Linked DNA regions of Drosophila melanogaster. The protein of the gene in region 1 purifies or fractionates together with the protein of each later gene. This does not show direct contact. Each region holds a gene or a part of one and is shown in the gene's direction. Other genes may lie near its edges.

Evidence for each region.
Region 2: the proteins of Hrb27C (region 1) and glo purify together in Drosophila melanogaster (affinity purification with western blotting; 2 studies listed by BioGRID). This does not show direct contact.

The regions. Positions count from the first base shown.
Region 1 is NT_033779.5:6,918,466-6,923,724, forward strand, and holds the start of Hrb27C (heterogeneous nuclear ribonucleoprotein at 27C), read left to right. Parts: upstream 1-2,238; 5' UTR 2,239-2,396; intron 2,397-2,500; exon of another isoform or gene 2,501-2,608; intron 2,609-2,794; exon of another isoform or gene 2,795-2,975; intron 2,976-3,173; exon of another isoform or gene 3,174-3,333; intron 3,334-4,265; exon of another isoform or gene 4,266-4,269; 5' UTR 4,270-4,361; intron 4,362-5,259. Other genes in the region: x16 splicing factor, read right to left, coding at 1,059-1,477; nop5, read right to left, coding at 1-146. UniProt on the Drosophila melanogaster protein: This protein is a component of ribonucleosomes. Could be needed to organize a concentration gradient of a dorsalizing morphogen (Dm) originating in the germinal vesicle.
Region 2 is NT_033777.3:11,814,500-11,821,358, reverse strand, and holds glo (glorund), read left to right. Parts: upstream 1-1,938; 5' UTR 1,939-2,148; intron 2,149-2,254; exon of another isoform or gene 2,255-2,341; intron 2,342-2,398; 5' UTR 2,399-2,416; coding exon 2,417-2,786; intron 2,787-3,221; coding exon 3,222-3,353; intron 3,354-4,020; coding exon 4,021-4,165; intron 4,166-4,601; coding exon 4,602-4,747; intron 4,748-4,814; coding exon 4,815-5,518; intron 5,519-5,593; coding exon 5,594-5,857; 3' UTR 5,858-6,066; downstream 6,067-6,859. Other genes in the region: Kyat (kynurenine aminotransferase), read left to right, coding at 1-79, 139-951; COX5A (cytochrome c oxidase subunit 5A), read right to left, coding at 1,198-1,647.

The DNA.
Region 1 (5,259 bases):
TTCTCAAAGTGCTTCAGCTTCAGCAGCTTGTTGGCCTTCTCCGGAGTCTCAAACTCCTGGTACAGATTGTCCACCTGCTCCAGTTTCTTTTCGTCCAGCAGCTTGAAAATCGCGTAGCCCGCCGGCGTTTCGTAGAGCACAAACATCGCGTTACGCTCTGCTCATTTAGTTTCAATTTTAATTCAATTTAAAACCACCGAAACTCTCGGCAGCCAGCAGCAACTTAACCTTCTTTTCCGTATGCCGCGTGTAAAAGAAAAATCCAAAATGAAGTGCAAGCACGTGTGCCTTCGGTCTACGGCGTTGCCACTTGGTTCGCGCATAACAGCACCACTGTAATTAATTCACCACGAACGTAAAAGCGCGGGGAAAATAGCGTAGGAGGGTGTCTTGCAGCCGCCTGCTACCCTTTTGTTTACCACTTATTTTAATTTGTCTATTTCTAATCAAATCAATCAAACTTTAATATCAATATTAAATATATTAGAGGACTTCGCTAAATCATTGTCACGTAACTATTTGTAAGCTTTTGTGCAATTTACGGACAAATTCTTGTGCTCAAGAGTATAAAATATATATATTTTATATATTTATTAATCACGAAAGTGTTTACATTTTTACAATATATTAGACTTATAATAGTCTATATAATAGACTTAAAAACAAAATTCTGTTATTACTATCTGAATAGATAACTACTGTTGTCAAGCATGATTTTGTTAGACAATTGTAGAAGCTATATACTTCTCATATCGATATTAATGGGTATGCCACCCGAGCACGTGTGCGTGCTGTTATGGTACAGAACTACTTCATGCGCTGGGATTAACAGCACTCATTGCGCATAACAGCACGCTGTTAGTTTTAACAGGCGACAGAGGTGCCCAAACAAACTCAACATTTTTGCATGCGCATACACACAAGCATGCATGTATGTATGTATGCGTTTGTTTGTATGTATGCCTTTCTCTCGCCATGTTACAAAAAGCAAGAAGTTTTTGGCAACGACAATGAATGAAAAATTGAAATGGCGAATTGCAAATGCGAATTGCGCTTACCTGCGTCGCTGCCTGGCCTTCCTTTCGCGACAGTGGCGAGCGAAATGCCCCCGTCCGCCGCACTCGTAGCACTTATCGTCCCCACGACCACCGCCGCCTCGGTCGCGTCCTCCGAGTCCTCCACCACCACCGCCTCCACCACCTCCGCCACCACCACCGCCGGACCTAGCATACTTTCCGGTGGACAATTCCACACGGGCTCGGCGCCCGCAAACCGTCCGTCCGTCCAATCCGCGCACCGCATCCGCCGCATCGCGGGCACTCTCAAACTCCACGAAGGCGAAGCCCGGCGGATTGCGGGCTATCCAGACGCTGCGCAAACTGCCGTACGCTCCAAATACATACTCCAGGTCGTTCTTCCGGGCATTGTTGCCCAGATCGCCCACGTACACCTTTCTATCGCTCGGATGGCGCGACATTTCTGTTTATTTCGCTTTTCCCCGGGCCCAAATTAATGTGGCAGCAGCGCAGAAAAAAATCGATGATGGGTTGGAATCACTTGCCACCGCCTTCCTGGGCACTTTGGTCGGTCAATCGCGCACTGGCGAACACTTTTAGTCACTTAACACGGTCGGCAGATGCGAATTTTTGTGTTTATTTTCTATTTAATGCAGCGCAAAACTCATTTTACCGGGTAGCAAACAGAGTGACCGTGGACAGACCATTAAAAGAAACTGCGGACTCGCTAAAAATATACCAAAAGTTATGCTCAATCCGCGGGTAACGGTCAGCAAAAGGCGGGAGTGTCTGGCAACAATAACTTCCAGGGCCGAAAAATGAAAATCTAAATATTTCCTTTTCAACTCCTACGAAAAAAATACTCAAAATTATTTTTTCCTTTCAAAACATTCCATCCGCCTAAAGAAAGCGACTATAAAACCTTTTTTAGTATAGTACATACAAATCATATACACACATCTTATTACATTTTTCACCTTTAAGATATTATTGTACTGCACAATTACATTTTAATGTAAATAATTTATAATACATTTTTTTAACCAGTCCCCTTTAACTTCCTTTATATTTAGCCTTCGTGTTAAAAGATAGATATAAATTCGTAATTTAAATTTGTTTTCTAGTATCTGTTAGATTCAGAATATATGTGGAGTATGTTTTAGTATATTCCGTGCAACTTGAGGTATTTTTTTTGGCTGGCGGCGGTCACACAGCATTAAACGTGGCGGCGATTTATCATATAAGTTAGGTTATAATATCGTATGCATCAAAATCATACAATTATTTATAAGCTAGTTTTTTAAGGAAAAAACACTTAAATTTAGTGAATTTGCAGTGCGAAATCTTTAAAAAACCACAGACGAACACTTGGCACAAACGGTAAGAACGAAAAGCGACCGAAAATCGCATTTACATAACAATTACAGTGCTTTAACAAAATGCCTGCCTAGCCTTTCCTTTCCAAAAAAAACGCCTGAATACTTGACGCAGCTGCCATTGCTCGGTGTGCGCGTGTGTTTGTGTGTGGGGTAAAATTGGCTCGATTCGTTCGAATCGTTTCTTCGCCTTTTCGGATTTCTCGACAAACAGAGGTTTGTGCAATTTTCAGCGATTTTTCGTGCCACTTTCGGCACTCTATTTCCACCCATCAAAGTGGAAAATTTCATATTTTTATACATACATACGAAAAAATGCTATGTATAACACCACACCAACGATCACGCACACCATTGCACAGCGCTCGGCGGCCATTCGCGCACACACACGCTCTCACGCGCACACACGTACGGCCAACTCATGCACTCACACACGCCAGCAGATTGCGGTGCAAAATACAAAAATCGTGCGAAATTCGTAAAATTGCGTATTAGAAATCTTGGTTAATTTCGCTCCTATTTCTCCGGCCCGAAAGCCCAAGTGTCAAAAGTGTACCCGGCGTGAAAGTGCATTCGTGAATTAGTGAGTGCCCCATCGATTAAACCGCCTGGCTGGCCAAACAAAACGAAAAGCGTAAAAATACAGTGAAATGCGTTTGTTCCCTTTTCTAAGAACTGAGACCCAAGACATTTCTTGAGACTTCTTTGTTGTATCATTTTTCATAAGGCACGTCTTCCATTTTGTTTTTTTTTCTTCGTTGCCTTTGCCGTGGTGAATTTCCCACACACTGCCAGTGCGATTCATTCAGTTCAGTCGTGAGTACTCAGCCAGCAACAACAATAAAACATTAATCGTTTAAAGCTGGAGGAAAACTCGAAAAAGAATTGTTTGTTTTTTCTTTCGATGGAATTAACATTTATTTTGAGGGCATTGGTTTTTGGTACGTTTGCTTTTCGCTTTCCATTCGCGTTCACGTCACACATGGCGTTGCCACATGTTTTTTCACTTGTTAATGGGCAAAATGTCTGCGAAGTGCTGCCAGTAAAGAAAACGGGATTTTCTTGATAACAAAGTGAATTTAAACCCGTTGTTCATTGGCGTTTGCACAAAAATTTAAATATACTCCTGTAGATGTTTACTTGGCCCACATCTGGCTGTAATCTGTAATACCCTGGCAAATGGCGCGCAAATGTGGTGAACCGGCGACAGCTCTCTTTTCACCTTGGAAATACATAAGTTCGTTGTTCTCATTGATAGGCGGCATGTGTGCTGGTGTGTGAGTGAGGCTGGGGATTTGTTACAACAACAACAACAACAACCATTCCGCTCGTGACACAGCGAAAAGAAAACAATACTTTCACGTAGCCGTTCAAAAACGAGTGAAAGGGGATGAGAGTAGTGTTGGGGTGTCGAAGGAGGAGCAAACTTGTGAACGTGTACAAAAAGCAGTTAGACGACAAACACACATACACGTGTACGGCGGAATCTCTTCAGCTGCGTGTGTTTGTGTGTATGTGTACCGGCCGGTTGCTTCTGCCGCTTTTTTCTCTTTTTTTTTTTTGTTCCTACCTGTGCCTTTCATAATAACTATGCGTGAATTTTTTGTCATCTGACCATTTCTACCCATTCGCACCAAAGATCTTTACACAGCAAGAAATATTGTCTCCGAAGGAAATGTAAATTTAAAAAAATTTCAACCATAGCCCTGGCCTTTAATTTTAATAACGTCAGTTTGCAAATAACCAAATTAACTATTCCACCTTGTTTTTTCCTGTGTAGCAATTCGATTAACCGGATTTCTTATATTCTATGTGTATCTTTCCATGTGCCTGCAACAAAAACAAACCGACGACATCGATATTGTTACGATAGAAAGTTACGTGTGAACGTCGTGGCTTTTGTTTAATTGTTTTGAAGGAAAAAAGAACTTTGGCAACGTTGAAACCAACCTAAGATATTGCCCAAAAAGTAAGATATTGCCCAAAAGTAATTGCGGATTTTTCATATAGTCGGCGTTGACAAATTTTTTCAACGGCTTGTAACTCTGTAATTGCATTCTTTCTTTGGTCAGTTATCAGCTGTTACTTTTAGCTTCCATTAGAAAAAAAAGTGCGCGAAATTTTGTTTTTATTTGTTTGTTTGGCGTCAATTTTAATATGGAGCCCACAAAGGAGCATTTTCGTCATATCTTACTTTATTATTTCCGTAAAGGAAAAAACGCGGAGAAGGTTGCTAGAAAGTTACGAGAGATACGATGGTATGGTGATGAAGCCTTAAAAGGAAGACAGTGTCAAAATTGGTTTCGCAAATTCCGTTCTGGAGATTTTTCACTTAGAGATGAGCCACGTTCAGGCCAAATGAAGTTGATGATGACCAAATCAAAGCATTATTATTTATCGAATTAGATCGTCATGTAACTTGAGCGTGAGATAGGAGAGAAGTTAAATATACCAAAAATCAACCGTTCATTATAAAAAGTCTTGGACTGGTGAAAAAGCTTGATATTTGGGTACCACATGTATTGAAAGAAATTCATTTAACACACCGAATCAACGCTTGTGATAAGCACCTTAAACGCAATGAATTCGATCCGTTTCACTTCAATGGCTGATATCCACCAAAAGAAGGTTATGCTGTCTGTTTGGTGGTATTGGAAGGGTGTCGTATATTTTTAGCTGCTTCCAAGGAACCAAACGATTAATTCGGATGTTCGCCAGAAAGATGGCAAAAGATTATCGAACAATATATTTGATTAAAGTTCATTCGAAGTTTTATTAAAAATGCATTTACTTTCATTTACAAAATCCGCAATTACTTTTTGGACAACCCATACATAAAATACATACAAACATAAATACATAAAAAA
Region 2 (6,859 bases), on another chromosome or scaffold:
TATTGAACCATTCTTTGATTGCTACGAGCCTATGGTCAAGATGGCCGGTGGAGTGCCCCGCTTTGTTCCCCTAAAATTGGTAAGAACCACAATAGAAAAAAAAAATATATCCCTCTTTTTAACATGTCTAACTTCTAGCGCAAGACAGAGGGACCAATAAGCTCTGCCGATTGGGTGCTAGATGACGCTGAGTTCGAGAGTCTGTTCAACTCTAAAACAAAGATGATTATCCTAAACACGCCCCACAACCCTATTGGAAAGGTCTTCAACCGGAAAGAGCTAGAGAGGATAGCCGAGCTCTGCCGCAAGTGGAATGTGCTGTGCGTCTCGGACGAGGTGTATGAGTGGTTGGTGTTCGACGGAGCCGAGCACATCCGTATCTGCACGCTGCCGGGCATGTGGGATCGCACCATTACTCTGGGATCAGCGGGCAAGACCTTCTCAGTAACTGGTTGGAAAATAGGCTGGGCCTACGGACCCGCTGAACTGATTCGAAACCTGCAGATGGTGCATCAGAACTCTGTGTACACCTGTCCAACGCCGCTCCAGGAGGGCGTCGCACGCAGTTTCGAGGTAGAACTGGCCCGTTTGGGTCAGCCGGAGAGCTACTTCCTTAGCCTGCCGCGCGAGCTGAAGCAGAAGCGTGACTTCATGGCCAAGTTCCTGTCCGAATCCGGTATGCGTCCCACCATTCCTGAGGGTGGCTACTTTATGCTGGCAGACTGGTCACCACTGGCGGGCAAGATTGATCTAAGCTCTGAGCCAGACAAGCATCGGGATTACAAGTTTACCAAGTGGATGACCAAGAACATGGGCTTGCAGGGCATACCGCCAAGTGCCTTCTACAGCGAACCCAACAAACATCTGGGGGAGGACTTTGTGCGCTACTGCTTCATCAAGAAGCAAGAGAACCTGGATAAGGCGGCCGAACTGCTGTCCAAATGGAAATAGTCGCCGGACAATAAACGAATTGCTATCAGCCGCTTTGTTTATCTCTGCCCGAATGCAGTTCCCTAACCTGGGTGTTACGTAACCAACAGGGAAAACAACCTTGTGCTGGTGTGGTAGCCTTACTGCAATCTCCATTTATTAGCAATCCAACAACATGTTCATCCGCACCATACATTGGATAGTAGGTAGCTAGTGTCGCTGTAACGTGTATATTGTGTTCTGTGTTTTTAAACTAGTGTTCTCCGCTTAGGCATCGTACACGGACTTCAGGGCCAATTCGGGCTTGTCGTAGCCCAGTTCCTCGATGGTTGGGATGCCCAGCTCCTGCAGTGTGGGGGTGATCTTCTCCAGCAAGTAGGGATAGAGGGTGGCCTTTTGGTCGCCGCACTTGTCCTTGCATCCCTCCAGCCACCTGATGGCCAGTGCAATGTCGTTGACGCGACGGCTGGCACGCAGACCGGCCTCGATGATCTTGGGGCTGGGCACCAGATCCATGCCCAGCAGATCGTTCATGCCCTTGCGGATCTCCCAGCCATCGATGCCCTCACGGCTGAAGTACTTCTCGTAGCGCTTGTCGAACTCCTCCGCCGATTCCTCGGTTCCGTGCAGACAGCGCACGGCGGCCACGCGCGACGATGTGCCGACGAGGCTGCTGCGGAGGGCGCTTGCCAGGTTACGGGCCGTGATGCTCAACATGCTGCCGTTAAAAACAGTAAAATGCTTGTTAATTGCAAAAATTTGGTTAAGTAACAGCTCGACTCACTTTTCTTGTTCTTGCTACTTTTCACACGGGTATGACAGATCTGAGTGATGGTTGGCAACACTGGCTTTTCCAGGGATGGACACGTTTATAACTGTCGCTGTCACGGAACAGTGAGATATTTAAAATGTTTCTGCTTCAGTATATTTCAAATTCGGGTAAGATCACAGTTAGTTTATCATTTTCCTTATATTTAATTTCTTCTATCTTGCCCAAAAAAAGCAAAAAAAAAATCAAAATCAAACCTTGTTTCTTTTTCAACGGTCCACATTGATGCTGGCTACTGCCAGGCGGTATTTTTTGATGATTTAATTGCGGTCACACTGCATCTTCAACTTGACGCGTGCTATTTGATTAATCTCTCTGAAAAATAAGTCAAATTAACCGATAAAGTTTAAAAAAAGGCGATATTGGAAGTTGAAACAGAGCAGAATACGGTTAGTTCTCTGTTCCGCCACCAGGTGTGACATTTAGAAGCGTTTATATTGTGTACGAGACTTGCAAAATGTCATAAGCAATTAGGGGTGACAAGAAATCAAAATGGCGTACGCGGTGCAAAAAAGAATCGCACCAAACAAGCGTCGCTGCTGAGTGGAGAATCACTAGCTCAAAAAATCGCATTTTCAGCCAGTAAAAAACAATTAAAACTAGTTAACCAGTGACTAATCGTTGTAACACCATTTGCAGGTAGAGATCTGGTGAAAAATGTCCAACGCAGACGTGCAATTTAACTACGGCCAGCAGGGAAATGGCGACAACTTCAACGACGACAGCAACCAGCAGCAGGATGAGGATGACCAGTACAACGAAGATGGCGGCGGCAAGATCGAAAACGTCGGCGAGAGCCCCAAATTCGTTCGGTTGCGCGGCCTGCCCTGGTCCGCAACGCACAAGGAGATACTCGACTTTCTGGAAAACGTGAATGTGACTAATGGCTCGGCGGGCATTCACCTGGTCACCAGTCGGGTCGACGGCAAGAACACCGGCGAGGCGTACGTGGAGGTGGCCAGCCAGGAGGACGTCGAAGAGGCTCGCAAGCTGAACAAGGCCAGCATGGGTCACCGCTACATTGAAGGTTTGTTTATTTGCCACTTGAGTGGGGGATGACTGTACCTGATGACTATCTTGGCAGTTATAGTTAGTTTCTTCTCACTTTGTTTATATGTTTATCCTTTTAACAAGCTTGAACTTGTTCTGATTCCATACATGGAATCGAAGATGATTTATTTCTTCATTGTTTTGCTACTTATACTGGTAGCGCTTATTTTCTTTTCATTCATTGTGGAATTTTACCTAATATTAAGGAGGTTTTACAAATATGTCACTGTATTGTTACTCTTATCCTTGCTTCTATCGAGGTAAACTAAAATTTAGTAAAGTAAATTTCACACCACCATTTATAATCTGTATTCATGTTAATTCTTATCTTAATAACAAACACAAAATGGTGCAGAAAACTTGTTTGTTTTTTTTCCGTTTTAACTGATGTAATTGGTTTTTATTTCTTTAGTTTTTACCGCCACGCCCAAGGAGGCCAAGGAAGCCATGCGGAAGATCAGCGGACACGGCACGGCCTTCGTTGTGAAGCTTCGTGGTCTGCCATATGCCGTCACTGAGCAGCAAATCGAGGAGTTCTTCTCTGGTAAGTTTCCTGACCCAAATCCTCTTTCCATACTAATATGTACCAGGTACCAGGAAAAAAGACAGTGGTTGACCGCATGTATTATTTGTTCACATCGTTGAGATATGGCCTACGGTCCCCTTTCATCTACACCTTTCATATATCAATTACACATGCGTTTCAACGTACATACATATTGTCGGGCAAAGAAATGCAGGCCCTTGCATTTGTGTAATGGGTTCGGCGGTTCACGCGGCTCCTTCCAAAGTCAACGGCTGAGAGTTGACGCGGTCACGTCCGCTTGTCCGATAAATCATTCCTTCGTTGGTCACATAACCCAGTTTACTTGGTTATATGGTCGATCATTACTCACAACCTTCAACTGAGCTACACATGTCTACGAGTTACAGGATCTGAGTTTTGTAATACATTGTGGTCCGGGAAACTCGATTGCAACAGTCGCATCTTGCCTGGTGATCATAGTTTGACTAAAAGGCACTGTTTATTTATGCAAACGTTGCTAATACCGTGAGAACCTGCAAAAGTTCTGCGGTGTTGGAACTAAACAATAACATTTATCAACCTCTGTATTTCTGTTTTTCTATCTAAGCTTAACCTTGCATAATGTATATATATATATGAAATCTATATATTTGTATAAATCTTTGTTGGTTATCGTCATGGGCAGGGTTGGATATCAAAACGGATCGGGAGGGCATACTTTTTGTTATGGACAGAAGGGGTCGTGCAACTGGGGAAGCTTTTGTTCAGTTCGAAAGCCAGGACGACACTGAGCAAGCCTTGGGCCGAAATCGGGAAAAAATTGGGCACAGGTGGGTTTCTAATTCATCATATCTTCTACAACAAAAACAGCGAAATTAAAACATTAAGTGGTAATCGATTGCGAACTTGTTGAAACACACAAGGACTATACAATTATTCACAAAATATTTAATAACTTTTATCACAAATAATTTCTATTTCAGTAACTGAGAAATCATTTAGCAAAAAATTTTCCCATAGCTACGGGTCTGGTGGGGCTCTCTAAATACATATATATGTTTAAGCGCGATCATGTGCTTTATCTAACAAATTAATTAAACTGTGAACAGCATTTTTATTTATTTTATTTGATCATTTCAATGAATTTATTTTGATTTCATTTTTTTACGTGATATTTAATAGTTGATCATGGAAAAAAGCCACCGACCCTAGCAATTTCAAGTACCACTTTTAAAATACATATATTTTCCACTTTTATTCACATAGGTATATTGAGATATTCCGCAGCTCGATTGCTGAAATGAAGAGGGCCACAGGCGCCGGTGGCGGTGTCGGAGGACGCCCTGGCCCTTATGACATACGTGATCGTGGTGCCAACCGTGGTGGCAATGATTTCGGCGGAGGGCGCAATGGTATGTTCAGATCTAATTGTTAAATTTTATAAAACTTCACTGATTGCCATTCCGATGTTAAACAAAGATTGGGGCAACAATGGCAACTTTGGCGTTGGTGCCAACAACATGCTGGGCTTCAACAATCTGCCAAGCCTGATGAACTCGGGCAACTTTGGAAACAACCAAGGTGGAAATAATGGAAATTTTGGAAATAACTCTGGACCCAGCAATTTCGGCAACTTTGGTGGCGGCAACAACGGTGGAAATTCCGGCAACTTTGGAAACGACAGTGGTAACAGCGGAAACTTTGGAAACTTCGGCAATAATGGAGGCGGAAACTTCGGCGGCAACAACAACGGCGGCGGTGGTTTCAACAGTGGCAACAACTTCAATTCTCCAGGTGGCGTTAATAATTTCGGCAACAATGGCGGCTCCAATTTTGGCGGCAATGGTGGAGGAGGTTTCAATAACGGCGGAAACTTCGTATCCTCGAGTGGTGTTGGCAACTTTGGCCCGATCGGCGGCGGTCGCAACAATAACAACGGAAATTTCGGAAACTCTGGATTCGGTAACTTTGGAGGAAACAACAATGTCGGCTCGAACTTCGGAGGAGGCAACAACGGCGGTGGCGGCGGATTCAACAATGGCTCGAACTTCGGCGGCGGCAACTCAATGGGCGGTGGTGGCAATTTCGGTCCCATCGGCGGCGGTCGGGGCAACGACATCGAGTATTATACAATCCACATGCGCGGACTTCCCTACACTTCATTTGAAAACGACGTTTTTAAGGTGGGTTTAACAATAACGAACTTGTTAAGAAGGAATATTCAACTTACTTAAAATCACAATAATTTCTTTCTATAGTTCTTCGAACCAATCCGACCAGCTAACGTGCGGATAAACTACAACAAGAAGGGTCTGCACAGTGGCACTGCGGATGCCTACTTCGACACCTACGAGGATTCCCAGGTGGCCATGAAGCGCCACAGAGAGCAGATGGGTTCGCGATACATTGAGCTGTTCTACGACGGAAAGACGCGTGGACTCAATGGTGGGGAACACGGCGGTGGTAACGGTGGCGGCGGAATGGGAAACAATGGCGGCGGAAACTTTTCGCGGCGCATCTAAAGCTCTTCCATAGTTTGATTACATTGAAATTAATGTAGACGCAAGTATTTCGTAATATTATGATCAAGCTGATACTGCTAAACCGCTAAGGAACCCTTACAACCATGTAAACGACTTAACTATCGAACAGAATTCAGACAGAGACAATTGGTTACACATAGAAACCACCAACGTATAATCAAGAATAAAGAGCACACTTTTATTTAAGTACTTTATTCTGTAGAAATTTCAATTTTAATATTTAAGTTTCAATTATTAATTTAGGTTTTTCTAAAATAAACTTTTATTTTAAAATGAAAATGAAACGAGTTTTTCTTAAACTTAGAACTCGTCTGCCCGGAAATGATTAGAATTAAAAATTGTGGATACAGATGAGATCATATGTGGTCTTCTGTAAGTGCACAGCTGTCTAAAAACTTTTGATATTCACATTTAAGTATACAGAAACTAATTATACAAAATAATAGGGTATGCCATGAATTGCACAAAGCCTATTTGCATTTCTGGGCAGTTGTTGCCCACATTGATGAAAAAAAGTGGGAATAAAAGTAAGTAATGAACACATCTGGCTGGGACTAGAAATATCAAAACATCATTTGGTAAATCGGAAAGAGTGGCTTTCCTTTAAAACTTGATACCTCCTAAACTCTTTAATGCTCTTCGGTATTTATTTCGCCTTCGGTTTTTTTATTTCACAATATCTTAGCAAAGGTTCAGAATTTGCGGGCCGAAGACAAAAGTTTTACTTTTCACTTTCCTAAAGGCACAGTTGACAGCTCAGTATCATAGTTGCGATGTAGATAGCAGACCTGTCAATAAATTTGTATGTCTATTTTGATCCAATGATCATTCCTCATAATTATACCAATAAACCGAATGCTGAAAATAGATAAGGTATAACGTAGACCCGATGTGTTTGCCAAGCGGCGAGTTATGAGATCTCGTAAAAAGAAGGAAGACGTATTTAAATATACTTATACTCGAAAAGGCTTTTTTCAGCGG